Saccharomyces cerevisiae S288C: one gene and its partners. Changing the gene in region 2 together with the main gene of any one other region gives a genetic interaction. Each region holds a gene or a part of one and is shown on either strand. Other genes may lie near its edges. The genes, in order: MVD1, RFA3, CLN3 and ZNF1.

Region 1 (3,455 bases), on a different chromosome or scaffold from region 2:
CGCCGTTTTTCAAAGATGAACGTAAATACTGGAAAAGTTCACGATAATTATTGATGATAGATCATTATTCTGCGCTTATATACGTTTTAATTGCTTGCTGGGAACTGCTTATTTGCGATAGTCGCTTGTTTTAAGTCATTACTATGTTTTAATATTGTTTCAGAAAATTATGTTACAGCCGCGTTTTGACTTGAAACGTGCAATATCCAAAAAGAGACTTTACAATTGAAAGCTAACCTAAAATTTGAGAAGATATGTGACAGGTACCCTAAATGTAGATTGGGTGGCTGCTGAGATCTTTAAGTATGAAACGGGTGGACGTACTTGTGCTAAGTGGTGCTGTTAGACAGCTACGAATAAGGAAATTCCGAAGCATGTAGGGAGGTCATGATATGAAAAAGCAAAAGAGTAGGCATCAAAAAGTTTCTCATTCAAGTGGTAACTGCTGTTAAAATTAAGATATTTATAAATTGAAGCTTGGTCGTTCCGACCAATACCGTAGGGAAACGTAAATTAGCTATTGTAAAAAAAGGAAAAGAAAAGAAAAGAAAAATGTTACATATCGAATTGATCTTATTCCTTTGGTAGACCAGTCTTTGCGTCAATCAAAGATTCGTTTGTTTCTTGTGGGCCTGAACCGACTTGAGTTAAAATCACTCTGGCAACATCCTTTTGCAACTCAAGATCCAATTCACGTGCAGTAAAGTTAGATGATTCAAATTGATGGTTGAAAGCCTCAAGCTGCTCAGTAGTAAATTTCTTGTCCCATCCAGGAACAGAGCCAAACAATTTATAGATAAATGCAAAGAGTTTCGACTCATTTTCAGCTAAGTAGTACAACACAGCATTTGGACCTGCATCAAACGTGTATGCAACGATTGTTTCTCCGTAAAACTGATTAATGGTGTGGCACCAACTGATGATACGCTTGGAAGTGTCATTCATGTAGAATATTGGAGGGAAAGAGTCCAAACATGTGGCATGGAAAGAGTTGGAATCCATCATTGTTTCCTTTGCAAAGGTGGCGAAATCTTTTTCAACAATGGCTTTACGCATGACTTCAAATCTCTTTGGTACGACATGTTCAATTCTTTCTTTAAATAGTTCGGAGGTTGCCACGGTCAATTGCATACCCTGAGTGGAACTCACATCCTTTTTAATATCGCTGACAACTAGGACACAAGCTTTCATCTGAGGCCAGTCAGAGCTGTCTGCGATTTGTACTGCCATGGAATCATGACCATCTTCAGCTTTTCCCATTTCCCAGGCCACGTATCCGCCAAACAACGATCTACAAGCTGAACCAGACCCCTTTCTTGCTATTCTAGATATTTCTGAAGTTGACTGTGGTAATTGGTATAACTTAGCAATTGCAGAGACCAATGCAGCAAAGCCAGCAGCGGAGGAAGCTAAACCAGCTGCTGTAGGAAAGTTATTTTCGGAGACAATGTGGAGTTTCCATTGAGATAATGTGGGCAATGAGGCGTCCTTCGATTCCATTTCCTTTCTTAATTGGCGTAGGTCGCGCAGACAATTTTGAGTTCTTTCATTGTCGATGCTGTGTGGTTCTCCATTTAACCACAAAGTGTCGCGTTCAAACTCAGGTGCAGTAGCCGCAGAGGTCAACGTTCTGAGGTCATCTTGCGATAAAGTCACTGATATGGACGAATTGGTGGGCAGATTCAACTTCGTGTCCCTTTTCCCCCAATACTTAAGGGTTGCGATGTTGACGGGTGCGGTAACGGATGCTGTGTAAACGGTCATTGTGCTGGTGCTCACTGTCTGGGAATTTTCAATCTTGCATCACCATTACCAGCACGATGGATGCTCTTTATATATCAATCTTCGAGAAAAGGCTAAACGAGCCATTTCGGCGATTTCGGCATCGTGGAAAAGTTTCACAAGAATCAGGCCAAAATTAAAAGTAAGGTTATCAGAAGGGCGGAGTATACTATAGATTACAGTAGAAATAACTGTCGTAGAATAACAGTGTCAACTAATGTTTATTTGGCAGAGAAAGAGTATTTTACTAGGGAGGTCCATTCTGGGCAGCGGCCGAGTTACCGTTGCTGGAATCATTGGAAGCAGCAGAAAGAGATATACGTCTTCTTCCTCCTCCTCCTCCTCCCCTTCCTCGAAAGAATCAGCACCTGTGTTTACGTCGAAAGAGTTGGAAGTTGCAAGAAAGGAAAGATTGGATGGACTGGGACCGTTCGTGTCTCGGCTGCCTAAGAAATGGATACCGTATGCGGAGCTGATGAGGCTAGAGAAACCCGTGGGCACGTGGCTGTTATATTTGCCCTGCAGTTGGTCTATACTTATGGGAGCCATGATGCAAGGTGCTACATTGAGCGCAACAGCTGGTATGTTGGGTATTTTCGGTGTAGGTGCATTGGTAATGAGAGGTGCTGGCTGCACCATCAACGATTTTTTGGATAGAAAGTTGGATCAAAGAGTTATCAGGTCCGTCGAGAGGCCTATCGCCTCTGGTAGAGTGAGCCCCCGTCGGGCGTTAGTATTCTTGGGGGCTCAAACTCTTGTTGGAATGGGCGTTCTATCTTTGCTTCCTGCGCAGTGTTGGTGGCTAGGCCTTGCATCGTTACCTATTGTGTTCACATACCCTTTGTTTAAGCGGTTTACGTACTATCCTCAAGCTGCATTAAGTGCATGTTTCAATTGGGGAGCGTTACTTGGGTTTCCTGCCATGGGTGTAATGAGCTGGCCTACAATGATACCTTTGTACCTGAGCAGTTACTTGTGGTGTATGACTTACGATACTATATACGCACACCAGGATAAAAAGTTTGACATCAAGGCTGGAATCAAGTCTACCGCTTTGGCTTGGGGTCCACGCACAAAGTCTATCATGAAGGCCATGTCCGCGTCTCAAATCGCACTGTTAGCTGTCGCCGGCTTGAACAGTGGGTTGTTATGGGGGCCTGGGTTCATTGGTGGACTAGGAGTCTTCGCTTATAGACTCTTCAGCATGATAAAGAAAGTGGATCTTGACAATCCTAAAAACTGCTGGAAGTATTTTAATGCAAATATCAACACCGGACTTTACTTTACGTACGCCTTGGCAGTCGACTACATCTTGAGACTGTTTGGATTCTTGTAGATATAGCGTGCATATACAAGTGTTTAATTGTTCTTTTATTCGATTATTATTTACATGCATTCTTACGTAGATGTCCGTACCTATTTGGGCTTCACGATATTCTTGATGGATGATCTAGAATTCCCCGAGTGAAATAGGGTCTTGGCAGACGTATGTGAAAGGATCTGAGTTAATATTGACCTGTTCAATAGCTTATTTTCTGCCACACTGTTGAAAAAGCAGTCCAAGATCCTGGCGTCATTCTTCACAACGCTACCAGATCTCGAGAAAATGTAAAATTTATTGAAAAATGAGGGTGCTTTTTCATCCACTGTGAAGAAAACAAAGGTGGCCTTAT
Region 2 (2,541 bases):
ATTGACAGTCGTTCATTTACTGTTCCGTACACCAAGCAGACTGGTACGTCGCGTTTCGCTCCAATGCAAATGCAGCCAAATACTAAAGTGACCGCTACCACATGGACAAGGAAATTTGCCACTAGTGCTGTGACATATTACTCTACCTTTGGGTCATTGCCAGAGCAAGCAACTACGATAACTCCTGGCTGGTCTTATACGATATCATCGGGAGTAAACTACGCTACTCCTGCATCTATGCCTTCAGATAATGGTGGTTGGTACAAACCATCCAAGAGATTGTCTTTGTCTGCAAGGAAAATCAACATGAGAAAAGTATGAAAAATAGACGGCTTCTACTATCATCATTACAGTAAGGGTTGAAGTCAGGAAAGGTTAAAAATAAAATAAATATCAAAAAGTTTTTAGCGGAAGGCGTTAAGGCAGCAAGTACACATTCATTTATCTATCTATACATCTATAAACACAACTACAATTTTTTTAGAAATGGAATTTATTATATGAAGGGAAGACATATAGAGGCAACAGTACATAAAGGTAAGAATAAAAGCGATTTTAGCTAGTATATTTCTGGGTATTTCTTACATAGTCTCTGTAAAGCAACCACACCGTTTAAGCTTAAATCTTCGTTCTCCTTGAATTTGCATAGTACAGCGTCTAGAATCAAAAATCCTAGCTCGCCGTCATCATTGTTCCTGCAAACAAACTCATACCACGAGTCGATCTCAAATGTTTTATTCATAGATACACGAATATTGTTCAACGTAATCATTTCAACCTCGCTGCCGTTTTTCGATGATATGGTTGGCGATTGTAAAATCAACTGAGATTCAGTGGGTTGTGATTTGATTTGCGCTATTATCCTAAACACAGGAGCATTGACGTTGGAGATTTCTGTGGGGTCAACTCTTGGTGTTTCGCTGGCCATTTTTACTTGTGTTACTGGTAGACGATGTTCTACAAGAATGGTGAAGGGTGTGTTATATTGCTCTTTATTTAAACACGAACGAAAAAAATATCGCGTATTGCCACATTTGGCGCGTCAATATTAAAGAACGAAGGCATTATATAGGGCGACTTGTCATGATTCCAACCATGGCATGGGCGGTGGATGCTTCTCAGCAGTGGCCCATTACGTTAGTCAACGACTGTTGGCTGTCATCTGTTCTTGTTGGGTGCTTGCAGCTGCATCGACAAACATGGATGGATGCCTCTACATATATATATATATTTATGTAATGGACCTCTGAATATTTTACTATGTAACTGACTATAGGAGATACCACTGGTGCTGTAGTACAATTTAGCACTTGCAAGCGTTGACACAGTTGTTGCGAAGGCCTCTTTCTTGTAGCACTTAATTGGAGTATGACTGCCATCATGTAGGGAAATTATGAAAGCATAGGATCAATCTTGACGTTGCAAAGAAGAAGAGACTTGCTGTTCCCTATTGATCACTTACCGTTATTGGAGTTCATATGGTACTTTTTTCATAATTTTACGAGTAATCCCTAGTGGTAGTTAATATTCAGCAAATAAAATACCAGTTTGAGACCAAAGGTAAGATAAGAGTTTACTGATAAAGACAAAGAATTGGGATGACCTAGTCCAAGGGATTATAGTACCTTCGCGAGTATTGCATATAAGCTTTTAGCGATACACAAACAAAGCGACACCGGGATTTGCATATCGCTTGTTCCTACGACGTTGTCAGTTCCATAACCTCTGATTTCCCATACGGATTTTGAAAATCAGCTACGAATAGATAGTCTTTTTCTATTTTCAGTAAATGTGTCATTGAAAAAAGTTTCTTTAGAACGACGCTTTTTGCAGGCTACTAGAAACACCCACTTCTAGTAGCTTTACGTGACGAATTGAACCGCGTGATCTTGTGCACTGTTATCCTAAATGCTCAATGCTCAGAACATCTTCTTGTTATCTCAGCCTCGCCACCCTTATCTTATCATAGCGGCCTTTTATTTTCCCCTTTGGGCAAAATACGATACAGCCTTCCAAGGTCGGGCAAGAAAGTTTATGACATATAAAAGAAACGGGTACCCCAAATACGTCTCTTCCCATTGTAAAACTAATCCTGCATCATCACATTAAGGAATCATTCATCTAACAATTACATTATGATCGCCTTACCAGTAGAGAAGGCCCCTAGAAAGTCCCTATGGCAAAGGCACAGAGCCTTTATTAGTGGAATAGTTGCCCTTATTATCATCGGCACCTTCTTCCTCACTTCGGGTCTCCACCCAGCACCACCTCATGAGGCAAAGCGTCCACACCATGGAAAAGGTCCCATGCACTCACCCAAATGTGAGAAGATTGAACCATTAAGTCCATCATTCAAACATTCCGTCGACACAATTCTTCATGACCCTGCCTTTAGAAACAGCTCCATTGAGAAACTGTCCAATGCTGTTAGAATCCCCACTGTAGTCCAAGACAAAAACCCCAACCCCGCAGATGATCCGGATTTCTATAAGCATTTTTATGAACTACACGACTATTTTGAGAAGACTTTCCCTAATATTC
Region 3 (3,978 bases), on a different chromosome or scaffold from region 2:
ATAATAACAACATTTCACCAATCACCAAGATCAAATATCAGGACGAAGATGGGGATTTTGTTGTGTTAGGTAGCGATGAAGATTGGAATGTTGCTAAAGAAATGTTGGCGGAAAACAATGAGAAATTCTTGAACATTCGTCTGTATTGATAAATAAAACTAGTATACAGCAAATACTAAATAATTCAAGAAAAAAACATTAGATAGAGAGGGGCAGATGTTCAAGCTATACCCATTATATTGATCCACACTTAGTATTAAGATACGTCTGTGAAGGATGAAAAAAAATGTATAATGTGACTAGAGGAAGTAAGGAGAAAAAACGATAGTAATCGTATTTTAGGTTGTGCGTTTTTATAATTTTTTTTTTTTTGTAATTCTATGCAAATGTAATATAAGTATATTTAAAGAAATAATGAGTCCTGTGAAAACAAAAAGAAAAAAAGATCATTAATGTATGTTAACGTATTTGCTTTGCAAATTTTAATTTATTTGTTGTTAAATGCATTTTTTTTTTGTCGTTTCAGCGAGTTTTCTTGAGGTTGCTACTATCATTAAAATCACAATCCACAGAGGAAGTTGATCTCTTTTTCAGTTGGGTGGGGGCAGAGCATGGGTGAGCAGTGGCCATGGGTCTAACAGGAAATAATCTTTTTGAACGCACAGATAAATTTTGTAATAATTTTCTATTTGACATTAGAGATGGGGTGGTGGGAGTTAGTGGGCTTGGCCAAAAGATGCTTGAATTTTGTGGGATGCTCAGTGACCTTTTAAAAGAATTTTGGGTAGAAGAGAACGAACCTGAATGTGAATGGTGTGATGCAGAGTCTGGGGTCGTCATTGAACTTGAAGTCTTGTAAGGGGAATTGAATGGAGATGGAGAGGATGAAGATGAGGTTGGAGTGAAGGCAAATGGTGGAGAAATGCTATCTTTGGTCAACCTTCTTAAATGAGTGTGATCCGAGAAATAGTCTGTGGCCGCAGATGAAACCGTAGCGCTCTTTGGAGTAGTAGCATTTGAGTAAACACAAGTCAATGAATCGCTGTCAAAGGACTGAGCAAAGATAGTATTGTACATGGTTTCCAATTCTTGTGAACGGTAGAATTCTTCCAGTTTCAATTGAATACAATAGTTTTGTAATGCGTCTAAGAGAGATTTTGCTAAAGATGTCTTATTGCTATTCAAATATTTTGATTTGAAACTGGAGGGGAAAGAATTTTGGTCCATTGCTATATCCAATAAAGTATTAGAGATTTCTGACAATTTAATATCTAGGTCTTGGCAGTTTTCCTCCAAAGCCAGATTGATATTTTCCCAAAGGTTTGAATTATAGTAGTTCAAAGATAATTTGATGAGGTTAATTGCACCCAGCGCAATTAGTGAACGATCATATTTAAATGATAATTCGAGATTGAAGGAAGCTAACTCGCACAACATAATGGCACCCAATTTGATCTCGTTGATGTTCAAAGAGGGGCCTTGAGAAGAGGACGATTTATTAATAGCAGTACCAGCAGCGTTATTTAATAAGGCCAGTTTCTGTTGAATGAAAGCTTCCAAAGGGGCAGAAAGGACAACGCCAGGCGATAACGGGGACGTAGATTGGAACAAGAAGATGTCGATGTAGGAGTCGAATGTTGCCGACTGACAGATGGACCAATCGAGTGATTTGAAAAGATGCATTTCCATAGTCGTGAATTGCTTTATAGAATATTGATTGCAACACAAGTTTTGCAAGACTTTCAAAGTGGCCATTCTATTCTTGGAGTCCCAAAATTTGGACGAAATCCAAAGCGCGGTCAAGGACAAGAGCTGGTAGTTGTAACTCTTGATAATGAACCGCGAGGAATACTTGTCCAAGATAGTGAAAGTAAGGAACAAAGTCGAGGTCGATAGATTGAGTCTTGTGTGACAGTACATGATGAAGTCAAAGATCAAGAAACGCATCTTCGGATTAACTTGTGGCTGAGAGTTGAAGTTAGTCAGGTTGTACAGCGGCCTTTCTGTGTGGGAAAGACGGAAATAGTGGTCCAATTGATCATTATTGTATTCGCTGATCGCTGAGTGATGTGCTTGCAATTCTCTTTTAACGAGATTAGGGTTTTTAGACTTTGCACTAGCAATGGCCCGCCTCTTTTGCAAGAGCAAGGGCAAATTAGGACATGAGGCAGCGCTGACAGAGGCGGCAGTGGCGGTGGAAGTGCCACTAGCGGTAGCATACCTTGCATTAGCGTATCTAATTATGGTATCCTTCAATATGGCCATCGTACAGAAAGCGTATCAAATCAGTGTCTTGAACGAGAGTAAAAGGGAGATGCAATGGAATGTAAGAAATGCTATGGGTCAGAAAAGAAATGCAGAGGAGTTAAACCGAATGAGGAAATGCAATGGATACGTTAAATTGGAGATGTGAGATTGCGACTGGGACTCGGATGGATGCTTGCTTTTGGATGCTAGTACAGAGAAAAAAGAGGGAGAAAAGAAAAGAGAAATAGAAAAAGGTTGGTTTAAGTCGGCAGAGGAGACTACTCGGGCAATTCGTTTCCTAATGGGTATAGTCCTCTTTCCTCAGAAATCCATTTGACTGGCAGACTCAGTAGTAGAAGAAAAAATCAAGAAAGAAATTGTGTGAAAGTATACTACACAAGAAAATGTTTAAGAAGAAGATTAAAAGCTCGAGGAAAGTACAGATATACAAATTATAAATAGGTAGGAGGAAGAAAAAAAAAAGATGAGGGCAAAAACCCAAGGCCAAATATGGAAATGTGGCAGAGGGACACACTAATCCGATAGTAAATTTATGTAACTTGATCATTACAGTGAGAGCAGGCTTGGTAATTTCTTTTTCTTGCCTGATAATTTTTCACTTTTTCTTTTTTTTTTTCTTGAAAGTTCACAATTTAGGGTTTGAGCACAGCGTTTGGTTGCGACACTTCCCCAGAAGGAAAACCGGCCTCTTTGGCTGGGGAGGGAAGAAGGGGGAGGAGAGCTCAGAAAGCCCTATCGCGATATGAGGGACCGATCTGTATCAGCATACTTTCGGTATCATCACGGTCGCAGGATAGAGATAGTGAATGAGTTAGCTGTTTTACAGGCCAAGCGTTCAAACGAGACGAATGGCGACATTTGCCCGTCAAGAAAACCCGCCGAGTTTTTTCCTAAACGGGTAAAACAGCCATGCACCGCAGCACGTCGACGAGGTGATATTTCCAATTTGGGAAATTTCCCAAATCAGTAATGTAGCCTCTACGGGTGTCTCTGTCAGCCCCGTGGTCGCCAGCACAGAATGTATCGTACCCCTGAAGGTAGTTTTTTACCGCCGTGGCACACGATAAAGGTGCACCTTGTGATAATAAGGTGGAAAAATATATATGAAAAAGTGAAATTGATTGTGGCTGCACTAGGACATCATTATTTCTTACTTGGCTATTTACACGTACTTACGCTGGCTGTATATCATTTAAGGGGCGGAGGACGAAGAGGACGGACCCGAGATCATCCGGTCCAAGAAACGGGTCATCCGGTCCTTAGCATTGTCTAGACTATCTAGGGCAGGACGGACATCCACGTGGAAAGTAGGCATTCCGTTTTCGTCGTCGGGCCCTCCGTAGAAATCCAAGACGTATCTAACTTCCTTGAAGGTTGGAGGTTGTTGTTCCGCTTTGCGCTCGCCTCGGAGTACAATCCAGTCGTGCCTGTCGAATGGTAGTTCTTGGCTAAAATGGGACGGAAACAGTAGGCCGCACAGGTGCATCCAGCGAGCACGAGGGCTCAATACGCCCGGTTTCCCCATGAATTTCAGCAACTTAGGCTGCACGTGGCTTTCATCTGTGTGCGGTTTTTCCCATTCGAGCACTTCCTGCCAGCACCCTTCATTTAGAAAGTTGTGGACCTGCACCATGGACTCCACTGCATCTTCGGCGACTTCGCCGCTACCGCCAATCTTGCCCTTTCTAACCATAGCATTGTACATCTGTT
Region 4 (3,790 bases), on a different chromosome or scaffold from region 2:
TTCAAATGATTTGAGCCGTTTTAAATTGAGTATGCAATGAGTCTTTTGAATCAACCGTAAGGCAGTTCCATAACCACTGCCACGAATACGTTTCACTACCTTGAAGAATCTCTAATGTAGGCCGTATTCTTCGCACTTAGTTCTGACGATGTAGACATCTCATTATATAAGAGCATAAGCGCCTGTTTCTAGAATCATTTCTTCGTGACCCAGCTTTTTGAGTTATTTCGCGGTATTTTGAAACATTTCTCGAGCTTGACGTGAACATCCTTATATTTCATGACAAACTCGATCATTGGAACATCCCTGCCTCGATTTTAGAGCTAGTATCAAATTTCAATCTCTTTGTGATGGAGCCCCGCTCCTATTTCAAAAGAGAAGTTTCTTGTATGCATATGTTATTGAAGTCTGATTATAGCAAGTGCAATGTCGTCTCAATTATTTTAACTATTTTTAGCCATACATGTTAGTTATCCTCAAAGAGAGCCTCCAGACTGGGAAGCAGTGTTTGTCATTTCAAATAAGTAGATTTCACAGTTTGTATGATTTTCGAAGCCAGGATTCATTGGGCTTTGAGTAAAGAGAAGCCGCGTATTACGAACAGCTTACGATATTGTAAAATATTCCCTTATTGTGGTGCCCCAATGGATACATGCCAGAGAAATGTCTGTGAAATTGAACAATTACAATGACGAGAGCAAGTAATCCGGCGGCCTTGTCTCTCTTTCACTAGTACCGTCTATATCTCTTGAGCGCCAATATGCGAAAGCTTTCACAAGGTTGATGTTCATGGTATTCGGCGTCGATAGCGAATTGCTTACTAAGAAACATTAGGGTGCAGTACAGCCTTGTTTTTCCAGTTCGACTAACCTTTTTCTTGGCAGTATGGAGACTGACTAGGTCTCCCAAACATTCATTGTAACTGCTGTTTAAAGATTTTGTTCTAACCTAAATTCAAGTGAGAAGCTGAACATGTGTCTCTACTTATGATATCACGACAGCAAATACTAATCTTGCCATAAATAGTCTAGCGTTTTGCAACTTACCTCTAGATATATTTTATTTCTTGAGGAACCGTTTTCGTCGGTAATAACAAAATACTACTGAAACGCCACAGCATTGAGAGAATACGTTATCGATTACGGCTTTCTTCTCGCTCCAGATGTCGCGGGTAAGATATTCACCTCAAACTTTTCTTGTTGAGTGTCGTCACAAATCTAGAACCTACATGCCATCTCAACGATTTTTCTGGAGAAAGGCCTCACTCCGTTCCGTACGTAATGCATAGATAAAGTATCAGGATCTTCACGATGCTCGAGAGTTACTTAGTAGTCTGAGTTTATGCGAAAAAAACTCCGCCGTTGTAATAATCGGGAATACACAGAAGTAGTACTGCACTATCACTGGGATACTCAAAAACCTTCTTTTTAACTTTTCTATCCCACAAATAGAACATAGGAAAGAACATTGACTCCTCCACTTGAAGTTAAATTACAGGAACAAACGCCTAACTATAATTTCGACATTGTTGCATCAACGAATCGACCGAAAGAAAAATCTGGAGTTGCAGTTATCACTTGTATGTGCACTAAGATTTATATTTTTACTCCTGAGATCTGCCAAATCGGTAGCTTATTGAACTGCGTTCCTTTTTCCCCTGAGTTCTCGAGGTACCTGCGGCTTTGTCTGTGCCATCTCCCCCACTTTAAAGTACCCCACGTTACTACCGCGTTTTTCCCCACCCCCGGCTTAATAAATTAGCTATATCTTGTTGACTTAAATACGGAGAAAAGAAGAAAACCTTCAAGAAATGCTTCATTGTCTTGTCAAAAGAGCTAAAGTAAAAGAGCTCTAGTTCGAAGATGGCCCGCAATAGACAAGCGTGCGACTGTTGTTGCATTCGTCGAGTAAAGTGTGATCGTAAAAAACCATGTAAATGTTGTCTTCAACACAATCTGCAATGTACATATCTTCGACCTTTGAAGAAAAGAGGTCCAAAACCCGTCAAGGTGAGAAATTTAAAGAAAGTAGATGATGTACAGGTATTTAGTAAAAGTAGTAGTGGTGGCATAATGAAGGTTCCAAAGGCACTAATTGATCAGTGTCTGCGGCTCTATAATGATAAGTTGTATGTGATCTGGCCTTTGCTGTGTTATGATGATCTTTACGAACTTTTAGAGAAAAGATATGACGAAACCTGTGTGTATTGGTTCCTGGTATCTCTTTCTGCCGCCACGCTTAGCGATTTGCAGACTGAAATTGAGTCGGAAGGAGGGGTTACCTTTACTGGGATACAGTTATCCAGTTTCTGCATGTCATCACGCCAAGAATTTGACGATTTTAACGGTAGTGATATATTCAAGATTATGACGTACTATTGTCTAAACCGCTGCTACGCACAGATGTCCAACTCAAGAACTTCGTATCGGCTTTCTTGTGAAGCCGTGGGGCTCATTAAGTTGGCGGGGTTCCATCGCGAGGAAACTTTGAAACTTCTTCCTTTCGATGAGCAGCAGCTTGGAAGGAAAGTTTATTATTTGCTTCTCTTAACGGAAAGATACTTTTCTGTGTATACGCATTGCGCCACGAGCCTGGATACCACGATTGCTCCACCACAACCGGAGAACGTAACGGACCCCCGACTATCTCTCGACAGCTTCTTGGAGATGATTAGGGTATTTACTGTACCGGGAAAATGCTTCTTTGATGCTCTAGCTACCGACTCTGCTAATGTAACCTGTACTGAAGACTCCCTTAAAAAGATATGGAGGGAACTTCATACGGTGCCACTTGAGATAGAACCATGGTCTTACGGCTATGTAGACATATCTTTTTCACGGCATTGGATTAGAACACTTGCTTGGAAGCTAGTGCTTCAAATAAGCGGTATGCGAATCAGTTTCCTTTCAAATAGCAAGAATACGCATATTCCAGTAGAAATTGCTAGAGACATGTTAGAAGACACATTTTTAATCCCAAAAAATCTTTATGCAGTTCACGGTCCAGGGATATCAGTGAAAGCACTAGAAATAGCCGACGCATTGGTAGATGTTGTGAATCAGTACGATCAAAATGCAGAGTCGGAGGCTTGGAATTTTTTGTTCGATATATCCAAATTTGTCTTCTCTCTTAAGCATTGTGATAGCACATTAGTTGATAAGTTTACGACAAAGTGTCAGTGTGCGCTTATCACGCTTCCTCTTTCTAATCCGCTTGAATCGACAGATGGTTCTAAAGAAGATGTAGATGCGCTTCCTTAAGTAAACACATTGCTACTTGCATTTTACCTTTCAAGATGTAGTGATTACGGACAGTTGAAGAGGCTAATAGCATCTATTTCTTCTTTAGTATATGGTTCCTGCAGGGCAAACAATTATTTCCTTTGCAATTTTGCGGCAGTGGGGAAGAATGATAGCACTAATAGTGAACTTGTGGACAATTATGCTATTATAGCAAGAAAAAAAATTTATTTTTTTTTCAAGGGGGGTGATTGTGATGTGAATTAAATCAAGGATATACGCTTTTATCGTCATGATAGTCGTGCGATTTGTACTTGGTTATAGATGAAATGAGTTAGTTTTTAATAATTGTGATCACAATATAGCTGTACTTATCAGGCCATTAAAGTTTCCTGTAAGGTGCACGAGAAGTCATGGTCATAAAATTATCAGAATCTCCAAGGAGAGGTTCAACGGCGTCGGTTGCCCATACTCCATATTAAGTACCCTGTCATTTCCACAGTTACATTAGTTGGAGTAGTATAGAAACCAAAAAGATCAGAACTCCAATA

The links.
Region 1: mutations in RFA3 (region 2) and MVD1 together harm fitness more than expected from each alone (negative genetic interaction), as found in Saccharomyces cerevisiae (one large-scale study listed by BioGRID).
Region 3: mutations in RFA3 (region 2) and CLN3 together harm fitness more than expected from each alone (negative genetic interaction), as found in Saccharomyces cerevisiae (one large-scale study listed by BioGRID).
Region 4: mutations in RFA3 (region 2) and ZNF1 together harm fitness more than expected from each alone (negative genetic interaction), as found in Saccharomyces cerevisiae (one large-scale study listed by BioGRID).

The regions. Positions count from the first base shown.
Region 1 is NC_001146.8:700,204-703,658, reverse strand, and holds MVD1 (diphosphomevalonate decarboxylase MVD1), read right to left. Parts: upstream 1,765-3,455; coding exon 574-1,764; downstream 1-573. Other genes in the region: COQ2 (4-hydroxybenzoate octaprenyltransferase), read left to right, coding at 2,000-3,118; MRX15 (Mrx15p), read right to left, coding at 3,199-3,455. UniProt on the Saccharomyces cerevisiae protein: Diphosphomevalonate decarboxylase; part of the second module of ergosterol biosynthesis pathway that includes the middle steps of the pathway. MVD1/ERG19 converts diphosphomevalonate into isopentenyl diphosphate.
Region 2 is NC_001142.9:95,602-98,142, forward strand, and holds RFA3 (Rfa3p), read right to left. Parts: upstream 929-2,541; coding exon 560-928; downstream 1-559. Other genes in the region: KRE9 (Kre9p), read left to right, coding at 1-321; CPS1 (Gly-Xaa carboxypeptidase), read left to right, coding at 2,136-2,541. UniProt on the Saccharomyces cerevisiae protein: As part of the replication protein A (RPA/RP-A), a single-stranded DNA-binding heterotrimeric complex, may play an essential role in DNA replication, recombination and repair.
Region 3 is NC_001133.9:65,256-69,233, forward strand, and holds CLN3 (cyclin CLN3), read right to left. Parts: upstream 2,266-3,978; coding exon 523-2,265; downstream 1-522. Other genes in the region: Rho family guanine nucleotide exchange factor CDC24, read left to right, coding at 1-149; holocytochrome c synthase CYC3, read right to left, coding at 3,461-3,978. UniProt on the Saccharomyces cerevisiae protein: Essential for the control of the cell cycle at the G1/S (start) transition. CLN3 may be an upstream activator of the G1 cyclins which directly catalyze start.
Region 4 is NC_001138.5:26,370-30,159, forward strand, and holds ZNF1 (DNA-binding domain containing protein), read left to right. Parts: upstream 1-1,862; coding exon 1,863-3,260; downstream 3,261-3,790. Other genes in the region: YFL051C (uncharacterized protein), read right to left, coding at 3,689-3,790. UniProt on the Saccharomyces cerevisiae protein: Transcription factor that regulates respiratory growth and plays a critical role in stress adaptation during non-fermentative growth.